Arabidopsis thaliana: one gene and its partner. The protein of the gene in region 1 interacts with the protein of each later gene in a biochemical or structural test. Each region holds a gene or a part of one and is shown on either strand. Other genes may lie near its edges.

Region 1 (5,602 bases):
ATCTGTTTCATACGAAAAATACAATCCAGGGGTTGTCTCAAGTGCTTGTAACAGAGTCCTAAAATATGTTTCGTCCTTTTTCTGCAAAAGCCAGTGACCAAGTTCTTTAGACAACTTAACTTGTTCATAAACTCCAAAACCCCTACAAAATCGTATATCGATTGAAATTCACAATAACCTTACTTCTTGAGCAGTAGCAAACCTCAAAGCCTCATTGCAAGGTAAGAATTTCATAGCCGTAACTCTAAAAATCGGTAAACCGAGAAAATTTCCAACTTCCTCCCGAGACGTTATAACTAGCAAGTATGTTCCTATATATGAATGAAATCGAAACCAGCATATAAAAATCACTGTTGGATCCCAACACAGTACATAGAGAAATGTTGAAAAACATTTTCCACCTGCTAAGAGCCTAATAGTTCCTCCTACGCCATAGATAGTAGAGACTCTAGTAGGACTCCCAGAAGATGCGTTTTCTGCAGTAACAAAGAAACAGTAACATCAAATACACTACAACAGCCTAATACTCTTGCTTCATATCATCTCTTGCCAAATTTTGTCTTGAAACCAAAACAGGGAAGGGAGAGAGCTGAGAATGAAGAGTGGATTACCATCAAGAGGTTTGATATTGCCATCGCGCCGATTGACGGAGAAGCCTTCCTCAGGCGATTCGATGGGTTTGACGACGTACTTGTCAGGAAACTCCAGAAGCTCGAATTGATCGTAGAGCTTGAATCTACTTGTAGATGGAGCAATCTCCATTAACGTAAATTATGAGATTTCAAATAAATTTTTCAAAATAGGAAAAATAATTTGAAGGATGATGATGATGATGATGCTGTTGGAGTTTGTTCAATTAAGAACTGGATCAGGAGAAACAAAAAAAAATGTCAATGATTGTTCATTATTTTTCTTCAAAGTTGACTGTTGCCACGTGTCTCTCAACCGGATACTAGTGGGCTTCTTTGGGCCTGAAATTTAAACTGTGCCCAATAGTCTTTCGTCCGGACAAATTGTTACAGTAGTTAAATCAAAGGCCACCAAAACTGTTACGTAGACATTTAAAGCGAATCTCCATCACCTACCGACTCTTCCTTGATTTGATTGTTCCACATGTAGTAAAAATAGAGACTTGAAGGTAATTTTGCCTTGAGGGAACATGAAGAGACTGAAGGTTGATATTTTTATTAGAAAGTTAAAAAAATTATTTCAGTTAATATTATATTTATAGGATATATATTAAAAGATATATCACGGGCTTATATTTTTATCAAATACATGAATTTTTTGTTTTTAAGATATCAACTACAACTAGATGTATCATAATCCCCTTGTTAGATTTATTATTCTTTTTGTCTTAATATCTTATAATAGTTAATAGTCATTAATAAAGAAGTAATAGCTTTCATTGAAGTGAGTCTACTCTAAATAGGATTTCCACAGTAGGAAAACTAGACATCAGGAAATCTATTCAATCAAGACGACTTATGTAGTAGAGTAATCCCCGAAGGTATTGAGCAACTATAGATATATGTTATTGATTATTTAATGTATGATACAATTCGGGATGATTTTATAATTAAAAGATTTGAAATTTGAAATTATATTTATTTTGTTAATATTGTTAGTTTTGGTTAGCTTTTAAAATTGTGTATTTGTATTTTTATTGTTAAATTTTATGATTTCACCCGGTATATATCATCCCATATTAATATTAGATTTATTTTTTGGGCTTTATTTGGGTTTTCGATTTAAACTGGGCCCATTCTGCTTCAATGAAACCCTAATGGGTTTTGTTTGGGCTTTGGATTTAAACCGGGCCCATTCTGCTTCAATGAAGGTCCTTTGTCCAACAAAACTAACATCCGACACAACTAGTATTGCCAAGAGGATCGTGCCACATGGCAGTTATTGAATCAAAGGCCGCCAAAACTGTAACGTAGACATTACTTATCTCCGGTAACGGACAACCACTCGTTTCCCGAAACAGCAACTCACAGACTCACACCACTCCAGTCTCCGGCTTAACTACCACCAGAGACGATTCTCTCTTCCGTCGGTTCTATGACTTCGATTCTCAACACTGTCTCCACCATCCACTCTTCCAGAGTTACCTCCGTCGATCGAGTCGGAGTCCTCTCTCTTCGGAATTCGGATTCCGTTGAGTTCACTCGCCGGCGTTCTGGTTTCTCGACGTTGATCTACGAATCACCCGGTAGTTAGCATTCTGTTGGATAGATTGATGAATGTTTTCTTCGATTTTTTTTTTACTGATCTTGTTGTGGATCTCTCGTAGGGCGGAGATTTGTTGTGCGTGCGGCGGAGACTGATACTGATAAAGGTATGATTTTTTAGTTGTTTTTATTTTCTCTCTCTTCAAAATTCTCTTTTCAAACACTGTGGCGTTTGAATTTCCGACGGCAGTTAAATCTCAGACACCTGACAAGGCACCAGCCGGTGGTTCAAGCATTAACCAGCTTCTCGGTATCAAAGGAGCATCTCAAGAAACTGTAATTTTGTTCATCTCCTCAGAATCTTTTAAATTATCATATTTGTGGATAATGATGTGTTAGTTTAGGAATTTTCCTACTAAAGGTAATCTCTTTTGAGGACAAGTCTTGTTTTTAGCTTAGAAATGATGTGAAAATGTTGTTTGTTAGCTAAAAAGAGTTTGTTGTTATATTCTGTATTCAGAATAAATGGAAGATTCGTCTTCAGCTTACAAAACCAGTCACTTGGCCTCCACTGGTTTGGGGAGTCGTCTGTGGTGCTGCTGCTTCAGGTAATCATACGAACCTCTTTTGGATCATGCAATACTGTACAGAAAGTTTTTTCATTTTCCTTCCAATTGTTTCTTCTGGCAGGGAACTTTCATTGGACCCCAGAGGATGTTGCTAAGTCGATTCTTTGCATGATGATGTCTGGTCCTTGTCTTACTGGCTATACACAGGTCTGGTTTTACACAACAAAAAGCTGACTTGTTCTTATTCTAGTGCATTTGCTTGGTGCTACAATAACCTAGACTTGTCGATTTCCAGACAATCAACGACTGGTATGATAGAGATATCGACGCAATTAATGAGCCATATCGTCCAATTCCATCTGGAGCAATATCAGAGCCAGAGGTAACTGAGACAGAACATTGTGAGCTTTTATCTCTTTTGTGATTCTGATTTCTCCTTACTCCTTAAAATGCAGGTTATTACACAAGTCTGGGTGCTATTATTGGGAGGTCTTGGTATTGCTGGAATATTAGATGTGTGGGTAAGTTGGCCCTTCTGACATTAACTAGTACAGTTAAAGGGCACATCAGATTTGCTAAAATCTTCCCTTATCAGGCAGGGCATACCACTCCCACTGTCTTCTATCTTGCTTTGGGAGGATCATTGCTATCTTATATATACTCTGCTCCACCTCTTAAGGTAAGTTTTATTCCTAACTTCCACTCTCTAGTGATAAGACACTCCATCCAAGTTTTGGAGTTTTGAATATCGATATCTGAACTGATCTCATTGCAGCTAAAACAAAATGGATGGGTTGGAAATTTTGCACTTGGAGCAAGCTATATTAGTTTGCCATGGTAAGATATCTCGTGTATCAATAATATATGGCGTTGTTCTCATCTCATTGATTTGTTTCTTGCTCACTTGACTGATAGGTGGGCTGGCCAAGCATTGTTTGGCACTCTTACGCCAGATGTTGTTGTTCTAACACTCTTGTACAGCATAGCTGGGGTACTCTTTTGGCAAACCTTTTATGTTGCTTTTTTCGTTATCTGTTGTAATATGCTCTTGCTTCATGTTGTACCTTTGTGATAATGCAGTTAGGAATAGCCATTGTTAACGACTTCAAAAGTGTTGAAGGAGATAGAGCATTAGGACTTCAGTCTCTCCCAGTAGCTTTTGGCACCGAAACTGCAAAATGGATATGCGTTGGTGCTATAGACATTACTCAGCTTTCTGTTGCCGGTATGTACTATCCACTGTTTTTGTGCAGCTGTGGCTTCTATTTCTTTTCCTTGATCTTATCAACTGGATATTCACCAATGGTAAAGCACAAATTAATGAAGCTGAATCAACAAAGGCAAAACATAAAAGTACATTCTAATGAAATGAGCTAATGAAGAGGAGGCATCTACTTTTATGTTTCATTAGTGTGATTGATGGATTTTCATTTCATGCTTCTAAAACAAGTATTTTCAACAGTGTCATGAAATAACAGAACTTATATCTTCATTTGTACTTTTACTAGTGGATGAGTTACACAATCATTGTTATAGAACCAAATCAAAGGTAGAGATCATCATTAGTATATGTCTATTTTGGTTGCAGGATATCTATTAGCATCTGGGAAACCTTATTATGCGTTGGCGTTGGTTGCTTTGATCATTCCTCAGATTGTGTTCCAGGTAAAGACGTTAACAGTCTCACATTATAATTAATCAAATTCTTGTCACTCGTCTGATTGCTACACTCGCTTCTATAAACTGCAGTTTAAATACTTTCTCAAGGACCCTGTCAAATACGACGTCAAGTACCAGGTAAGTCAACTTAGTACACATGTTTGTGTTCTTTTGAAATATCTTTGAGAGGTCTCTTAATCAGAAGTTGCTTGAAACACTCATCTTGATTACAGGCAAGCGCGCAGCCATTCTTGGTGCTCGGAATATTTGTAACGGCATTAGCATCGCAACACTGAAAAAGGCGTATTTTGATGGGGTTTTGTCGAAAGCAGAGGTGTTGACACATCAAATGTGGGCAAGTGATGGCATCAACTAGTTTAAAAGATTTTGTAAAATGTATGTACCGTTATTACTAGAAACAACTCCTGTTGTATCAATTTAGCAAAACGGCTGAGAAATTGTAATTGATGTTACCGTATTTGCGCTCCATTTTTGCATTTCCTGCTCATATCGAGGATTGGGGTTTATGTTAGTTCTGTCACTTCTCTGCTTTCAGAATGTTTTTGTTTTCTGTAGTGGATTTTAACTATTTTCATCACTTTTTGTATTGATTCTAAACATGTATCCACATAAAAACAGTAATATACAAAAATGATACTTCCTCAAACTTTTTATAATCTAAATCTAACAACTAGCTAGTAACCCAACTAACTTCATACAATTAATTTGAGAAACTACAAAGACTAGACTATACATATGTTATTTAACAACTTGAAACTGTGTTATTACTACCTGATTTTTTTCTATTCTACAGCCATTTGATATGCTGCAATCTTAACATATCAAGTCTCACGTTGTTGGACACAACATACTATCACAAGTAAGACACGAAGTAAAACCAACCGGCAACCGCATTACATAACATAACCGCATACCATTTGAACGGTACAACACTGCCGTTAGTACAAGCCATACATAGTTATATCACACACATATAAAACACAAAAAACCTAAACGCGCTACATTAGACCCTAGTTAAAATCCACGCTGCCAAACACGGAACCTACAAGCAGGTTACTTATTAGATGATATATAACAGACTGTTGCAGCGGACACTAGTAGCTCGTAACTACTATCACTTGTTGGTGAACTTTGACTCATCGATCTCAATCCCTTCTTCCTCCGCACGCTCTCCACCAG
Region 2 (4,284 bases), on another chromosome or scaffold:
TATAACATTTTTTACAGCAACAATAAAACATTATCTTCCTCACAAGTCACTTGTCAAGTTATTAGTTGATTTTATAACAGTTTTTACAGCAATCAAAATAACTATATAGCAATCAAAATAACTAATAAAGATTCTAATGTGTCACTTGAAACCATCCCTGGAACAGATGGTGAAGACCTGTTTGATCAATTTTACGTCTGCTTTGACATCATCAGAAGATCATGGAAGGAGACATATCGCCCCACTCATAGGAGTAGATGGTATTTTCCTCAAATGCACACTCAAAGGTCAGTTACTTGCTGCTATAGGTAGAGATGCATGTACCAAAATGTATTAAATAGCATGAGGATATAGTACAAGTGGAGAATGAGAAGAAATGGTTATGGTTTATCCAAATGGTGAAGTCTGATTTTGATCTTAAAGATAGAGATGGGTTTATCATAACCTCAGATCGACCAAAGGTATGTTTTTGTGTGGATGTTCTTGTTCGTATATTATGATTTTAGTCTTAATGTGATGTTACTGGTTACCAAATTTCAGAGCATAGGAAATGTGTTAGACACATTTATGGCAAATTGAAAGCAAATCATGGAAAACAAAATGGAGATGAAACCACTTATCTGGAAAACTTGGCTTGGAGCCACACTGAAACACAATATGAGAAGAACATATCCTTTTTTCTAAGTTGTTTCCAATACAAAAGAATATTCTGAGCTAATTATTTTTTCTAAGTTGTTTCCAATGGAGATTGCTGAGAGGAAACTCTCGGAGAATGATTACAATGGAGCGAAGAAATTCATTAACAAGGCTCAGAATTTGTATCCAAAACTTGATGGTTTAAAGACAAGTGTTGATGATGATCAATGTTTATCTCTTTGCATCAAACGGAGAAGAAAAAGCTGATTGGTATGGAATTCTTTATGTAGACCCTTTAGCTATGATGAAGCAGTGAAGAAACAATACAAGAAGTTAGCTCTTTTGCTTCATCCGGACAAGTACAACCTTAATGGCGCGGAAGGCGCCTTTAAGCCAGTTACAGAAGCTTGGTGTATGTTATCTGATAAGGTTAAGAGAACTTCTTATGATCAAAGGAGGATCTCGAAAGAAGCAAAGACCGAGATTCAGAAACAACCAAACCCACAAAATATTGGGGCAAGAAGTAATAAGCTTGCTAGTTGGATAAAGAAACAACTCAATCCTACAATATACACAAGTTAAGTGCTAGAGACGGTGGGGCTAGAAGTAATAAGCTTGCTCGTTGGATAATGAAACTACTAAATCTGCACAAGCTAGCATCTTCTACTGGGAATAAAAATGCTAGAGACGATACTCATTGGAGAATGTGTAATAGATGCGATGCCAATATGCCATATTTTGTCTTTATAAGGACATAATTTGTCCACGTTGTGGTCAACCTTTTGATTGCAATATAAGAAAACTCCATTGGAAAAAGCCAAAAACACAAGTGGTGGTACTTATTCAAAGAGAGATTCTTTATCATCTGTTAGTTCCACTGAGTTGTTGTAATTAAGGTGTAGGTATAATAGTGGAAGACTCTGGAAGTGCCGCAAATCAAGGACTCGAGGAGTCACAAGAAATGGTTTATGGTTCTGCAAAGACAAATTAGCACATGTAGATTAATCTATAGAGTGAATTGTATAGTGCTCAACGCTATAATGGGCCTCCTAAAAACCAGCTCGGCCCATAACAGGAATCATGCATAAGGGAAAAATTCACATTTGTCTAACGGTACCACTAGTTGGGAAGATTAGTAATAATCATTACGAAAATTTATTTGTTCTTGTGATGAATGAAACTATATATATATTCATTATAGAAAAAAATTCGATTAGCTGTTAAATCAGTAATTAATTCAGAATATTAAAGACTAATAACACTCAACAAAGCATATTAATTATAAAAAGAGCAGAAGATATAGAAACAACCGTTAAAATCAATATTCATCAATCACCACATACTTCTAGGGTTTTTAATCGCCGTCACTAAAATTAATCTGCTAATACGAATCATCACCGTCGACTAATCTAATCTCCGGCGAAATCTTCCAAATCCTCAAGCACCACCACCATTACTCATCATCTTCTTAAACTCATCAAAATTAACACAACCATCACCATCAATATCAACTTTACTAATCATCTTCTTACAATCTTGCACAGAGCACTTCTCACCCAAATTCTTCATCACTGAATGAAGCTCTTTCGCCGAGATCCTTCCATTACCATCCAAATCATATAACTCAAACGCTTCTTTCAAATCGCTTACGTCGTTTCGATTGTTACCTCCTCCTCCGATTCCGATTTGGAAAAGCGCGACGAATTCGTCCAGATCTATGAATCCGTTACCGTCTAGATCGAATTGTTTCATCATCGTTACTGTTTCTTCTGGTGATGCTGTTGGTGAGAGAGCGCGGATCACTTCTTTGAGCTCGTCGACGGAGATTTTCCCGTCGCCGTTTTTGTCGAATCGTTGGAAGACTTTTTTGATGTCGTCCATTGATCCTAAACAGCTACGAACAACTCCGTTCTTCGATGACATTGTTGAAGAAATTGAGATTTTGAGATTTGAGAGAAGAAAAAAAACGGTTAGAGTAGTGTGTGTGTGAAGAAGAAGGATTTGGTTATAAATAAGGGAAAGAGAGAGGGTGACGTAATAACGCGTTTTTTTAATTAAAACGCGTTGAGATTGCGTGAGCTGGTGGCATCTTTATTAATTCTAAATTTATTTACTTTCCAAAGATTTATTTACTTTACATATTTTATGCTTCCAAAATGTTTATTTACCAATAATAAAAAGAAAAATGTCTTTGATTAAAGATAGGACAAGTTGCTATAATAAATTTCTGTATATAGCTATATATATATATATATATATATATTTTTTGGGTAAACTTTCATTCATAAATTCAAGTAATTTTATAAGACTAAGTGGATAACATTGGTTTCTAATTTATAAGAAATTATGATGAGTTTAATTAAATTATAGAAAGTAAATAAATGAAAGATTTTAAATTATTGCTAGAGACTTTTTTTATAATCTTGATGATTAGTTATTCATAATCTTGTAAAGTTTCTCAAATGCTCTCTCTATTTTGATAATATTTTTTATGATTTCTATGACTTTATTTTGTGGAAAAAATGTTGAAATCATGAACCAATTACATAATAATAAAATTTATTAAAATTCAGAGATTTTTTTGTTTTAATTAAAATAACATAAATTTTTTACTAACTTTATAAAAGTATGAATCCAACAATCCCAAATAGCCGATGATTTGAGAAGTTCATCATTAATATTATTCGATCCTTCAAAATCACACACCTAAACAAATTGGATCAATATTATGTTGGATTTATTTATATATATTATTTATAATAAAAAATAATATAACAAATCTATATATTATATTTGACATACATGTATATGTATATTGATATGTGCACATGGAATAAGAGGCAAATATGATTTCTCTCTACGAATAAGAAATGAAGTGATTGAGCTCAAGCCCATTACTAAACCTAAGTATGTTAGGTTAAACGTATTAGCTATATATAATGATATATAATAACGTTTGACATATAGCCTTGAGCAGCCGAACCCTAAACATAAAAGACGAACTTGTCGTTATGTTTTGAGATTTAATCTCTGCAGTACTAGCATTCTGTTTGACTAAGTCTATATGTATGTGGATATCAGTAGAGGCACACATTTGGAAAGGTTTACAACCTCGGTTCCTTCATCTTTCCGCTGCAAAATAGCTAAGTATATTCATAATCTTATGATATCGATTTAATTAAATATTTACACTGACAATTAAATTTGTGATTCGTTTTATAAATCTGTTATAAATTGGTATAAATTCTTACAATTAATTTTATGATAATATTTACATTAACAATTAAAATTTGTGATTAGTTTTATAAATCAGTTATAAACCGGTACTAATTCCTACAATCTTAGCCTATCAAATAGTCATTTTAGATTATTTTTTTTATATATAAATAGCGACAAAAAGAAAACTAATATTATGTTTTTTTTTCATTCTAATTTTCTATTTTATATATAATACTTAAAAGCACAGTAAATCTTCTTTTCTTACTTGTTTATAGTGTGTGCAAATCATTGTTCGTACCTTTTGAAATGTGTAGATGAAAAATTATGAAGACTAGGTGAGTGCCCGCGCTACGCGCGGGATTTTGTTGTTGTTTTTTTAAAAAAAAAGTTTTATAATATATTTAGTTTATCATACTTTTTTAGAATTGT

What was found. The genes of interacting proteins can lie anywhere in the genome.
Region 2: the proteins of G4 (region 1) and TCH2 form a complex in vitro, tested with the Arabidopsis thaliana proteins (one study listed by BioGRID).

The regions. Positions count from the first base shown.
Region 1 is NC_003074.8:19,215,397-19,220,998, reverse strand, and holds G4 (UbiA prenyltransferase family protein), read left to right. Parts: upstream 1-1,870; 5' UTR 1,871-2,064; coding exon 2,065-2,215; intron 2,216-2,296; coding exon 2,297-2,341; intron 2,342-2,424; coding exon 2,425-2,510; intron 2,511-2,694; coding exon 2,695-2,782; intron 2,783-2,864; coding exon 2,865-2,950; intron 2,951-3,038; coding exon 3,039-3,125; intron 3,126-3,198; coding exon 3,199-3,264; intron 3,265-3,338; coding exon 3,339-3,422; intron 3,423-3,518; coding exon 3,519-3,580; intron 3,581-3,658; coding exon 3,659-3,734; intron 3,735-3,823; coding exon 3,824-3,968; intron 3,969-4,331; coding exon 4,332-4,408; intron 4,409-4,492; coding exon 4,493-4,540; intron 4,541-4,635; coding exon 4,636-4,698; 3' UTR 4,699-5,069; downstream 5,070-5,602. Other genes in the region: SAC8 (SAC domain-containing protein 8), read right to left, coding at 1-81, 184-311, 402-476, 612-762; EM1 (Stress induced protein), read right to left, coding at 5,538-5,602. UniProt on the Arabidopsis thaliana protein: Involved in one of the last steps of the biosynthesis of chlorophyll a. Catalyzes the esterification of chlorophillide a or b with a preference for geranylgeranyldiphosphate (GGPP) rather than for phytyldiphosphate (PhyPP).
Region 2 is NC_003076.8:14,997,002-15,001,285, forward strand, and holds TCH2 (EF hand calcium-binding protein family), read right to left. Parts: upstream 2,619-4,284; 5' UTR 2,560-2,618; coding exon 2,074-2,559; 3' UTR 1,980-2,073; exon of another isoform or gene 1,709-1,979; intron 1,611-1,708; 3' UTR 1,219-1,610; coding exon of another isoform or gene 950-1,218; 3' UTR 866-949; coding exon of another isoform or gene 733-865; 3' UTR 513-732; downstream 1-512. Other genes in the region: AT5G37760 (Chaperone DnaJ-domain superfamily protein), read left to right, coding at 167-287, 361-461, 733-865, 950-1,218. UniProt on the Arabidopsis thaliana protein: Calcium-binding protein that may positively regulate abscisic acid (ABA) inhibition of germination and seedling development. May be required for photoperiod-induced flowering and function in ion homeostasis.